Saccharomyces cerevisiae S288C: one gene and its partner. The protein of the gene in region 2 binds, or shares a complex with, the protein of the main gene of each other region. Each region holds a gene or a part of one and is shown on either strand. Other genes may lie near its edges. A codon is read from its position in the direction of its gene.

The links.
Region 1: the proteins of AIR2 (region 2) and PAP2 are in contact, whole or in part, in a crystal structure (PDB 3NYB), measured with the Saccharomyces cerevisiae proteins. Residues at the interface, in NP_010106.1 of Saccharomyces cerevisiae: Glu134 (codon at 3,431), Arg135 (codon at 3,428), Cys136 (codon at 3,425), Ile139 (codon at 3,416), Trp140 (codon at 3,413), Arg141 (codon at 3,410), Ala142 (codon at 3,407), Tyr143 (codon at 3,404), Ile144 (codon at 3,401), Leu145 (codon at 3,398), Val146 (codon at 3,395), His160 (codon at 3,353), Tyr163 (codon at 3,344), Cys164 (codon at 3,341), Tyr165 (codon at 3,338), Asn166 (codon at 3,335), Cys167 (codon at 3,332), Gly168 (codon at 3,329), Gly169 (codon at 3,326), Phe173 (codon at 3,314), Arg181 (codon at 3,290), Ser182 (codon at 3,287), Ser183 (codon at 3,284), Arg184 (codon at 3,281), Val185 (codon at 3,278), Pro186 (codon at 3,275), Asn187 (codon at 3,272), Gly190 (codon at 3,263), Ser191 (codon at 3,260), Ala192 (codon at 3,257); in NP_014526.1 of Saccharomyces cerevisiae: Glu174 (codon at 1,736), Ile175 (codon at 1,733), Ser176 (codon at 1,730), Asp177 (codon at 1,727), Phe354 (codon at 1,196), Met357 (codon at 1,187), His358 (codon at 1,184), Pro359 (codon at 1,181), Arg360 (codon at 1,178), Ile362 (codon at 1,172), Thr363 (codon at 1,169), Asn364 (codon at 1,166), Glu365 (codon at 1,163), Ile366 (codon at 1,160), Asp367 (codon at 1,157), Asp370 (codon at 1,148), Asn371 (codon at 1,145), Val374 (codon at 1,136), Ile377 (codon at 1,127), Glu378 (codon at 1,124), Glu381 (codon at 1,115), Leu382 (codon at 1,112), Lys385 (codon at 1,103), Asn386 (codon at 1,100), Phe387 (codon at 1,097), Gly388 (codon at 1,094), Tyr389 (codon at 1,091), Asp390 (codon at 1,088), Asp391 (codon at 1,085), Val392 (codon at 1,082).

What each region holds. Positions count from the first base shown.
Region 1 is NC_001147.6:99,538-103,729, reverse strand, and holds PAP2 (non-canonical poly(A) polymerase PAP2), read right to left. Parts: upstream 2,256-4,192; coding exon 501-2,255; downstream 1-500. Other genes in the region: PTH4 (Pth4p), read left to right, coding at 1-413; MSN1 (Msn1p), read right to left, coding at 2,773-3,921. UniProt on the Saccharomyces cerevisiae protein: Catalytic subunit of the TRAMP complex which has a poly(A) RNA polymerase activity and is involved in a post-transcriptional quality control mechanism limiting inappropriate expression of genetic information.
Region 2 is NC_001136.10:141,689-147,452, forward strand, and holds AIR2 (TRAMP complex RNA-binding subunit), read right to left. Parts: upstream 3,831-5,764; coding exon 2,796-3,830; downstream 1-2,795. Other genes in the region: YDL177C (uncharacterized protein), read right to left, coding at 1-33; GID12 (Gid12p), read left to right, coding at 409-2,535; DLD1 (D-lactate dehydrogenase), read right to left, coding at 4,138-5,764. UniProt on the Saccharomyces cerevisiae protein: Component of the TRAMP (TRF4) complex which has a poly(A) RNA polymerase activity and is involved in a post-transcriptional quality control mechanism limiting inappropriate expression of genetic information.

The DNA.
Region 1 (4,192 bases), on a different chromosome or scaffold from region 2:
TAAATCAATTTATTTTACGTTACGATAGAGCCAGCGGGCCAGGAGGCCAAAACGTTAATAAGGTAAATAGTAAATGTACTTTGACACTTTCTGGTTTATCAAACTGTGCTTGGATTCCTCAGGAAGTGAGAAACATCTTAAGTAGCGGCAGGTTTCGATACTACGCTAAGGGCAGCGATTCTATAGTAATTCAATCTGATGAAACTAGGTCAAGGGAAACCAACAAATTAAAATGCTTCGAGAAGTTGGTTCAAGAAATTCGGCAAACGTGCCAATTTCCTAATGATACCACTGCTGAGACCTCAAAGAAATGGAATAAAATAAAAGAGAAAGCCAACAAAGAGCGACTTCTTGACAAAAAAGTTCACAGCGATAAAAAGAAAAACAGAAGTAAAATTAAATTCAATTATTAATACATAATACGCATATTTAAACACACATTCTATCCAGGTACACAGTGATGTACAGTTCAGTGCATCATTTAAACAAAAAGGCACATATTAAAGGGTATAAGGATTATATCCATCTTCATCATCATCTTCGCTAGAGACAGTGATATATGTCTCTCCACTATTTCTCTTGGCCGGTTCACTTTCAGGTTTTTCTTCTATTTTAGCCTTCTTAGCAGGTGGGTTCGTTATTTCATAATCATCATCTGTTGTGGTAGCGGTGGCTGTGGAGGTAACTGTATCTTCGGCAAAATCTTCATCATGAATTATTCTGCTACGTTTCTTGTGATAGTTTTCATTTTCAATAATAGCCTTATTCAGTACTAGACCTCTTTCATCCTTGAAATCTCTTGCCTTTCCACGATATTTGATCACGTTTCCCAATATACTTTTCCCCAATCGATCCTTAAAAGTTGCTGAATGTAATTCAAAACATCTATTCGTCAACAGATCAAAAGCACCAGCAAATGCCTTTTTAATATCTCGAATGTTAAAGGACCCTCGACTGATGTTATTTGATTCATCACCTGGATCTTGAATGGCCAATGAAAATGGATTTTTAATAGGCTGAATAGCACTCCATGTCGATTTTGGAAAGTATACTGGATATCCATCCGATGATCCCAGTGCAACATCATCATAACCAAAATTTTTCCCATAAAGTTCAAAAAACTCTATCAGGAGCACACCCAAGTTGTCCTTTGGATCTATTTCGTTAGTTATTATACGTGGGTGCATATGCAAAAAGGAAAAGACAAGACATATAATACTAAACCCACCAAGACCACCGGTATGCACATTATTTAGTCTTCTTGCGTGTAGGAATTGTTTTACGATAAGGACTAATTCTCTCAGGCCGGGGGTATCGTCCAACCACTCTCTAATAAGCTTTGCTGCTTCAATACCATTTGTTCTCTCAAATGAAACATCTATGTGGATCCCTGAATGTGGCTCAACAAACTTGATGATTGGAACGCGAGCTTTGGCGACAACTTCAACCTCTGTTGCCAAATTTTTTTTTTTTAAATGGCTTGCTAACGAATACAAGTTATTCCTACTTTCCTTACCACCAAGTTCGCTCGTTACCACGCAATCAATATCGGAACCAGGCAAATACAAATCGGTAGAATATGATCCAAACACGTGCAAATCAGCATCTGGCCATAACTGTTTGACAGCCTCTCTTATTGTACTTATGGTTTGATTACGAATTTCAATTTCTTCACGACTTGGTGAGATATAGGCAACAAAATCCTTGATTTCAAAGGTTAGCCAGTCCGAGATTTCTTTCTGTTTGGAGTGATCATGATTTAAAATCCATGGATAATCAGTATTAAGGATTTCCTTTTGCTTTTCTTTTTTAATTTCTAATTCTTGTTTCTCCCTCTCCTCTTCCTGTTCGGCTTGCTCATCCTCAGAACTAGCAGAAAGAGAGATAAAATCATCATTGTTAGCAAGATCCTTCTCATCCCCGTGCACTGCTAATGAAGGCGTTTTACTTTCTTCAGTAGTCGAGGGAATATCAGTAGGGTTATCGAAATGTCCATCGTAGACATCGAATCCTTCATCATCATCAGATTTATGTTCTAATACAAGAATTCCATCCGCCGTGACGTGATCTTTAGGTAATTTATTTGTCTCTTGCTCATTACGACTAGGTAAAATCTCTACTTCGTTTTCGTCGTTCAAGGATATAGACTTCTGTGGTTTCCGTACTTTCTTGATTTTCTTGCTCTTTTTCACTTTCCCATTATGCCGGTTTTTAATCTTCTTTGAAGAAGAGGCTGTTACACTCTTTGCCCCCATATTTCAAGTATAGTTCCCTTGCTTATTCACACTTTATGAAAGCGTAACGTTTTTGGTCGTATATTCAAATGGTTTTTTTTTAATGAAACTTAATAGTTATTCTATATTATTTTCCTCTTTTTTTTATTTTATTTTTTTTTTCACACATTATTTTAGAATCATATACAAGAAGCCGAGGATGAATACAGGTTTCTTCGACACTCAACGTGATAATCAAAAGGCAAGATAAGAAAACTGAGTAAACCTAAATATCTCACGCTTGGGATCCTTTACTTAAATTCAGTTAGGTGTTCAGCTATTCTAAATTCAAGAGCGTAAAGTACAAGGCATATTATATAGATATGTATACGTATACAATTGTTGTTGGCTGACTTCTGAGTTTTATAGGATATTATTAGAGATTATTGTTACAGATACAACCCACTTTAAAGGAAAGTCCAATTATTAATTTATTAAGAAAAGCATAAGTGTTACAAGGGCTAATTTGGGATAAAGGTGAATACACAAGAAGCAAATGTCACTTCAAAGTCTCTGGAATATGAGAACTGTGGCATAACCAACCAATAGGTTGTTTAACCTTCTGTTTATCATTAACATATCTTGAGTTTTCTAATATTTCAACAACATAGTTTAATGAATACCCACGATTAAGGCCAGTTTGAATGGCTTTCCAAAGAACCTTTCTTCTCGAATATCTTTTATTTACTGCTGGATCTCGCCTCCATGCCGTTTGATAAAGAGCTTCCATTTTCCTTATAGAAGGCTGCCCGTTAACACCTTCTGTATACTCCTTCCAAACCTCCATCACAGAGTGTGGTGACTTGATAAATTCGAAGGGTCTTGTGCAGACTATTCGTTTCCGTTTCAATCCTGTTTTAGTCTCATACTGTTCCTCCTCAAATGTCGGCACGCTCTCTTGTGCATTTGATTCAACCGCATTTTCATGGTTAGGAGAAACTTTCTGGAGATTAGGAGACTGCCGTGATTGAGAAGAGTTGCTGCTTATGTACAGTCCTTGACTTTGGCCACCATCATTGTTAGGTGGATTTGCTGAATACTCTTCCAAGGATGGGACTAAATTGGAATTATAATTTTGCGGCTTGTTGAACCGAGTGTCCACTGAAGGGTTGGTGCTATTATTTTCTTGGCTTATAGAATTTGAGCTGTTAGTTTGTTGTTGACTCTTATCATTTTCTTGTGAATTTCCATTCAAAATGTCCTCAAAAAGTGTTTCATTACTAACAGCTCCTTCATTTTGCGGATGAGCAGTTTGATCATTATTCATAGGCACTGAAGTATAATTCCTAGGAGCTCCTGGTGCCGTAGTTCCATCAGTGAAGCCTTGTGGGTCAAGAGTTTGGCTTAAGGATATTGACGTAGCTGACACCCCATGCAACGTTCCGCTTAATTTTTCACTGAGAATTTCAGCGTGGCGTTGTTGGTCATTCAGCAATGTTGATAAAAACGCGGTCAGTTCGTTGATTTGTTGCTGTTGGGAGTTTACCACTACATCATATTTTTTAAAGTGAAGATCGAGACGGTTACTTAACGCGTGAAATATACCCTCAAACATCGACATACGCCTTTCCAGCTCAGCAACGCGGTTGGTTAATATAGCCTCATTCTCATTTAGGTTTGAAGCTCCTATGTGCTGGTTACTTGCCATTTCGATGCCTACCTTGAAATAATCTCCTTTTCTGATTTGGTTTCTTTTCTTATAAGCAAGGGGCTTTGTATAATGAATCAGAACACTTTACCCTCAAGCAAATATTTCCTGTTTAACAAACTATGGTCGATAGTTTCCATACCATCAACGCTTTGTAGGTGTACATTTTCATTTCCTTCCACATATCCTTATTATCTTAAATCTCTCCAGAAAAAGCATCACTATAAACGAAATCTTCGAACGGCTTTTACAAAGAAGCTATCTTATGTAA
Region 2 (5,764 bases):
TATTTTCACTAGCTTACCAACATTCTTACTCATTTCTCCAAAAAATAGTAATACCAAACATCAATACCTATCTAAGAATCTGTATAATGTCTTTTCTAAAGGTTTTTTACAGCTGATGATTGATGCATGACTTATTTCCACAGTGCCGTATTTTCTCAGTTGCCGTTTTGGGTCTGCTTTTCACAATGCGAAGCTTTGTTGAAAAGAGCTCTAAGGTCAAAAACAATAGTAAGCTGATCGGTATTAAGTACTTGCCTTCCTGAAAATTGCTAACAAACATCCAAATATACCTTCCCCATAGTTGAATGGCATCTAATAGAACAAAACCAGGTTAAGATAGGTTTTACTTTGAGTTGTTAAATACACGCAGAAAGCGTCTTTCCACATAATCTGAACATTTTGTTATCGATGGCTACTGGCAGGATTCAATTTGCTGTTTCTACTCCCTGCAATACTAAGGGTAAACCGTCTGGTTATAGGTTATTTGAATTTAAAAACGATCGATTAGCACTGGTCCCATCAGAAAGAGGTTGTACAAAAGTAGATGTGAATGCAAATATACAAGCGTTTTGTTATTTAAGGCCTAATGGTAGAGACACGTCAATATCTCCAGACGCAACGCATATTTTGGACTCATGTGATTACATGGTGCTGGCTAAATCCAACGGATTCATTGAAATCATAAGCAACTATCAATACAAGATAAAAAATGGCCTGCGATTAGCGCCCTCTTATATCCTTAGATGTACTCCGGAAGATTTCGAATCCAATTTTTTTAGTGACTATATGATCGCTGGTCTTGAATATAGTCAAGGTTTATTATATTGTTGTATGTGCTCCGGTCGAATATATGTCTTTGTAATGAACCTTCCCACTGATTACATTCAGTATAAGAACATGTACAACCCCATGTTTCCAGATTGCTTTTTCAAAGTACATCACGATAATAATACAACACATTCTTCAGAAGAAGAAAAATTATTTGAAGGTAGTACGCGGTACACTGGAAGGTCATGCTCTAAGCATATCTGCTACTTCCTTTTGCCTATAGAACCATCCCATTTAAGATCGTCACCCGTGGTATCTTCGTTTTGCAATATGTATCAAGGCCTGCCCATATATAGGCCTTCGATGTATTTACATATAGAACGAGGTATTTCCACATTCCATATAAATCCATTAGACCGGTTTTGTTTCATGACAGTATCGCCACGATCACCACTATTTATAAGGAAAATAATTTTACCATTGACTTATGTTACATTTTTAAGCACCTTTATCAGCCTAAAGAACAGTATACAGGGAGATACATGCGGTGAGATACTTTCGTGGGACAACGTAGCGCAACAAAATGGATTTGGTTCTTTGTTCAGCTGGATTAGTAACAAGTTTACATTCGATACGGATATTATAAATTCAACCATTTGGGATGATATTGTAAAATATTCTGGAACAGGAATGCTGGATTCAGGAATCGTCTGGAAACAGCGTCAAGGTCACGCTAAAGATGACATATATGAGTTATTCCACACTCAAGATATGCTGGGAAGTAGTCGCCGAAATTCTTCATTCAGTACTGCTAGCAGCGAACCGAGACCGCTGAGTCGAAGAAGGAGAGAATCTTTTCAAGCCTTAACTAGAGACGCTTTTAGAGAAAGAATGGATGTACCCTGTTCAACGAAGTGGGAATTAGATTCTTTTATCCGAGGATTAAGAAGGAATACATTTATGGTAGATTTTGAAATTGTTGAAAAGATTTCTCATAGAAATGGAAATGATGGGGTGAATGAAGATGATAACACTACAGATGAAAGTGATGAAACAATGACTTCTTTTCTAACAGATAATTACAAAAAGATGGACATTGTGTGCATCGATCATTTCGTCACGTTGAGTGCATTCCGACCTCGGTACTATGATGAACCAATAATTAAAATCGATTCATTATCGAACAAAAATGGCTCTGAAAATGGAACTAATGAAGAAGAGTGGGCAGAAAGTCAAATGAAGGTGGATGGCCAAGTGATAGATGATGAGACAGCTCAATTCAAGCAGGCATTGGGAAATTTATGTTCATTCAAGAAATTATTTATGCTGGATGATTCTTTATGCTTTATATTGGACACACATGGAGTTTTGTTGATAAATAGATTTGAAATAAAAAATACCAAAAATTTGTTAAGGAATTCCAAGGATACTATTCGGATAATACCCCATGATTTCGGATTGATTAATGATACAATTGTTATAATTAATGATATAGACGTAGGCACAGACAATGTTTGCGCCCTTACGTTTCACTTGGTGGTAACATCAATGGCAGGAGAGATAACTGTTCTTAAAGGCGAATTTTTCAAAAACTGCAGGTTAGGAAGAATAAAACTGTGCGATTCACTAAAGCTAAATAGAAAAGATCGGTTTGTCGACAAACTTGCTCTAATCGATTATGACGGTTTAAATGCACAAAAAAGAAGGTTAGATTACGATGAAAAGGACCTTTATACATTCATTGTGAAAAAGGTAAAAAGAGACTAAATTGAGTTGCATAGATGTTAGCCATAATAGAAAATAGCGTATGAGGTAGCAGGAGTTATAAGACGTATTTACGTATATGTATGTATATGTTATTATTATTACCTGTGATTGCACGAAGGCCTTTTTTTTTCACAACAAGAAGATGTAAGAAATTTACATGCTATTTTGATTAATGGTCGAATTAGGTATTGTCTTTAATCTTTCATTAAGAAAATATAATGTAACCAAGAACAGCTTGTTAAAGGGCTTCCTATTTAAAGTTATCTTCTTTTCCCCAAGGTACCACTCCTATATGGTTGATAAGAATTGTAGTTTCTGTAATTGGAAGAGTTGGAAATGCTGTTATTATCAACATAAGTAGAAGGGTTATATCTGGAGCCATACATATTCTCCGATATCGACGAGACGTTTACTTTTGTATTTTGATACCGTGAATTTTTACTAATATTATTATTGAGTGACAGCGTCTCGCCCCTTATAGTTGGTTGAATGACATTAGACTTTTGATAAGGAGGAGGATGGAAGTTCGATGCTCTACGTTTATTTCTGCCACTATGAGAGTGATCGTTTTGGGAATGTCTTTTATGGGAAGGTCTCGGTAGTGGATCCTCATCGTATATGGACTCACTAAATTGATAGTCTTCATTTTCGTCCGAATTTCTGTTCATGTGACGGTAATATTCCTGTTTTAGCTCAACTGACAAATTAGAACCAGTGAACGCACTTCCATCCTCGTTAGGTACTCTAGATGATCGTTTTTCCTTGCAATCATCACCAAAGTGCCCCTTTCCACCGCAGTTATAACAGTATATAGTATGAAAGGGAAGGACCTTGGGCTTAGCCTTTTCATTATCATCTACTAAAATATATGCTCTCCATATACTAGGACATCTTTCTTTTGAGTGTTTCTTACTCTTACAAAGAGTGCACTGAACTTTTTTCCATTTATGTGGACATTGTGACCTGTAATGACCCACCTCATCACACTTTGAACACTGGATAGCCTTCGGACAATGTCGAGAATAATGATCATCCGTCGCCCCACAGTACGAACATATTATATGGGGACAATCCTTCTTCAAATGACCTCTTTGAGAGCAATTATTACATTTAGGTGCTGCCTCTTTAATGGCATCCTTGTCATCATCGCTTACGCCAAAATATCTACCCTGCCCTCTAAGAGCTCTTAATTCGTTGGGATTACTATTTACTTCCTCTATAGAAGGTGCTACAAGTTTATCTGGAGGAGTTGTGGGTGCCGTATCGACGACAAATGGTGCCGTATTTTTTTCCATGACTGCGAGGAAGTGATGTAAGCTGCTATCGTTGTACAGGTAAGGTTTAATTCTCTCTGATGCTGCCAATAGTCATAACTTTTTTCGAAATGTTTCTTCCCATCCCATTAGTGTTTGAAGGAAAAAAAGGCACTACCCGGATCATGAATACATTTGATGGTAATAATATATATCACATTTTTAAGCATGTATTAGCTACTGGGAAAGGGCATTTTGAAATGGTATGTTTTCTTTAAGGATGAACTATATATATTACATGAAATATATTTCAGGTTTACGTGAAGGGTGAAAAAGGAAAATCAGATACTCACCTGTAATCATTAGCGGGCTCGTTTGGATCAGTTTTAAAGATTTTGTCCGGGTTCATGATTCTCTTTGGGTCAATAGCTAGCTTAATCTTTCTCATCAAATCGACGGGTGCTTCACCTAATTCTTCGAGCAAGTACTCTCTTTTACCAATACCAACACCGTGTTCACCCGTGCAAGTGCCTTCTGCGTTCAGTGCTCTCTTGACCATTCTGTCAACAAGTTGGCTACAGGTTTCGTGTTCTTCAGGGGTTCTGTAGACGATGAATGCATGGAAGTTACCATCACCTGCATGACCAACAATGGCGTTGATCAGCTTACTAGCTTGCATGTCCTTTTTAGTTTCGTGAATAACCTTGTCGAACTGCGACACAGGAACAGCTACATCAGTTGTCCAAATTTTAGCTGATTTGTCTTTGCTCTTATCAGCGTCTAGCACAGACCATAGCGCGACCTTTCTAGCTTCCCATAATTCCAATTTTTCGTCATCATCTTTAGCAAACTGAAAACTGTTGCAGTGATTTAACTGGGCGACAGCCTTAACTTCATCCACAAGAGCATTGACAATGTTGGGAGATCTCCCACCAATCTTGAAAAACATAGTTGGTTTCTCTACCCAATCACATCTGTCCGTGGATTCAGATGCGTTGATCAACTTCATCATATTTTCATCCAGTAACTCCATGGCGTTCAAATGAATACCACTCTGAGTCAGATTAGAAGCACATGCGGCCGCATCCTTGATAGTATCAAAGGATACCACCGCAACAGTTTCAGCTTTGGGCTTGACATGACACTTGACAGTAGCTTCAGTAACAATACCTAAGGTACCTTCACTTCCCACAAATAAACCATTTAAGTTATAGCCAGCGCTCGACTTTCTGGGTCTTTTCTTCGTCTTGACAATGGTCCCGTCCGGCAACACTATAGTCATGTTTATAATATTCTCCTTCATGGTACCGTAACGGTAGGCGTTGGTTCCTGAACAAGAATTAGCAATGCAACCACCAATCTGTGCACCTGGACCAGGGTCACAGCCAAACATCAAACCGTGGTCGCTCAAATAGTCATTCAAATCCTCCCAGGGTAGACCGGCCTGCACGGTGATGTCCAGGTCCAGCTTGTCAAATTTTACGACGTTATTCATAAACTTGGACAGGTCTACGGTTATGGTATCTCCAATTCTTGTAGGCAGGAAGTGCCCCTCCAAGGACGTTCCGCCCGAGAAGGGTACAACTGGCATGTTGTTATCGTGACATATTTTCAAAATTTTGGAAACTTCTTCGGTAGTATGAGGGAATAATATAATCCTAGGTCTTTGCTCGGGAGAGGGGTGATGCGTGTTGAAGTAGGTATCTGAATGGGCGTCCAAATCGGATTTCGCATCAGAGTAGTTTTCAGGCTTGTTTCCCAGCACCTGCTTCAGGTCCTCAACAACCTTATCGATCTTAACCGGGTCGTGCAAATAGTCTGGTGAGTCCAATGAGGACAGCTTTAACGTAGAATTTACTGGGTCGATCTTTTTGACCATTTCCAGCTTCTCTATCAAATCTTCCTTAGTCTCCCTAGAATAGAGGTTCTTAGCGAACAAATAACCGAATAGAGTAGCTGAAGAGGCGATGACAGAG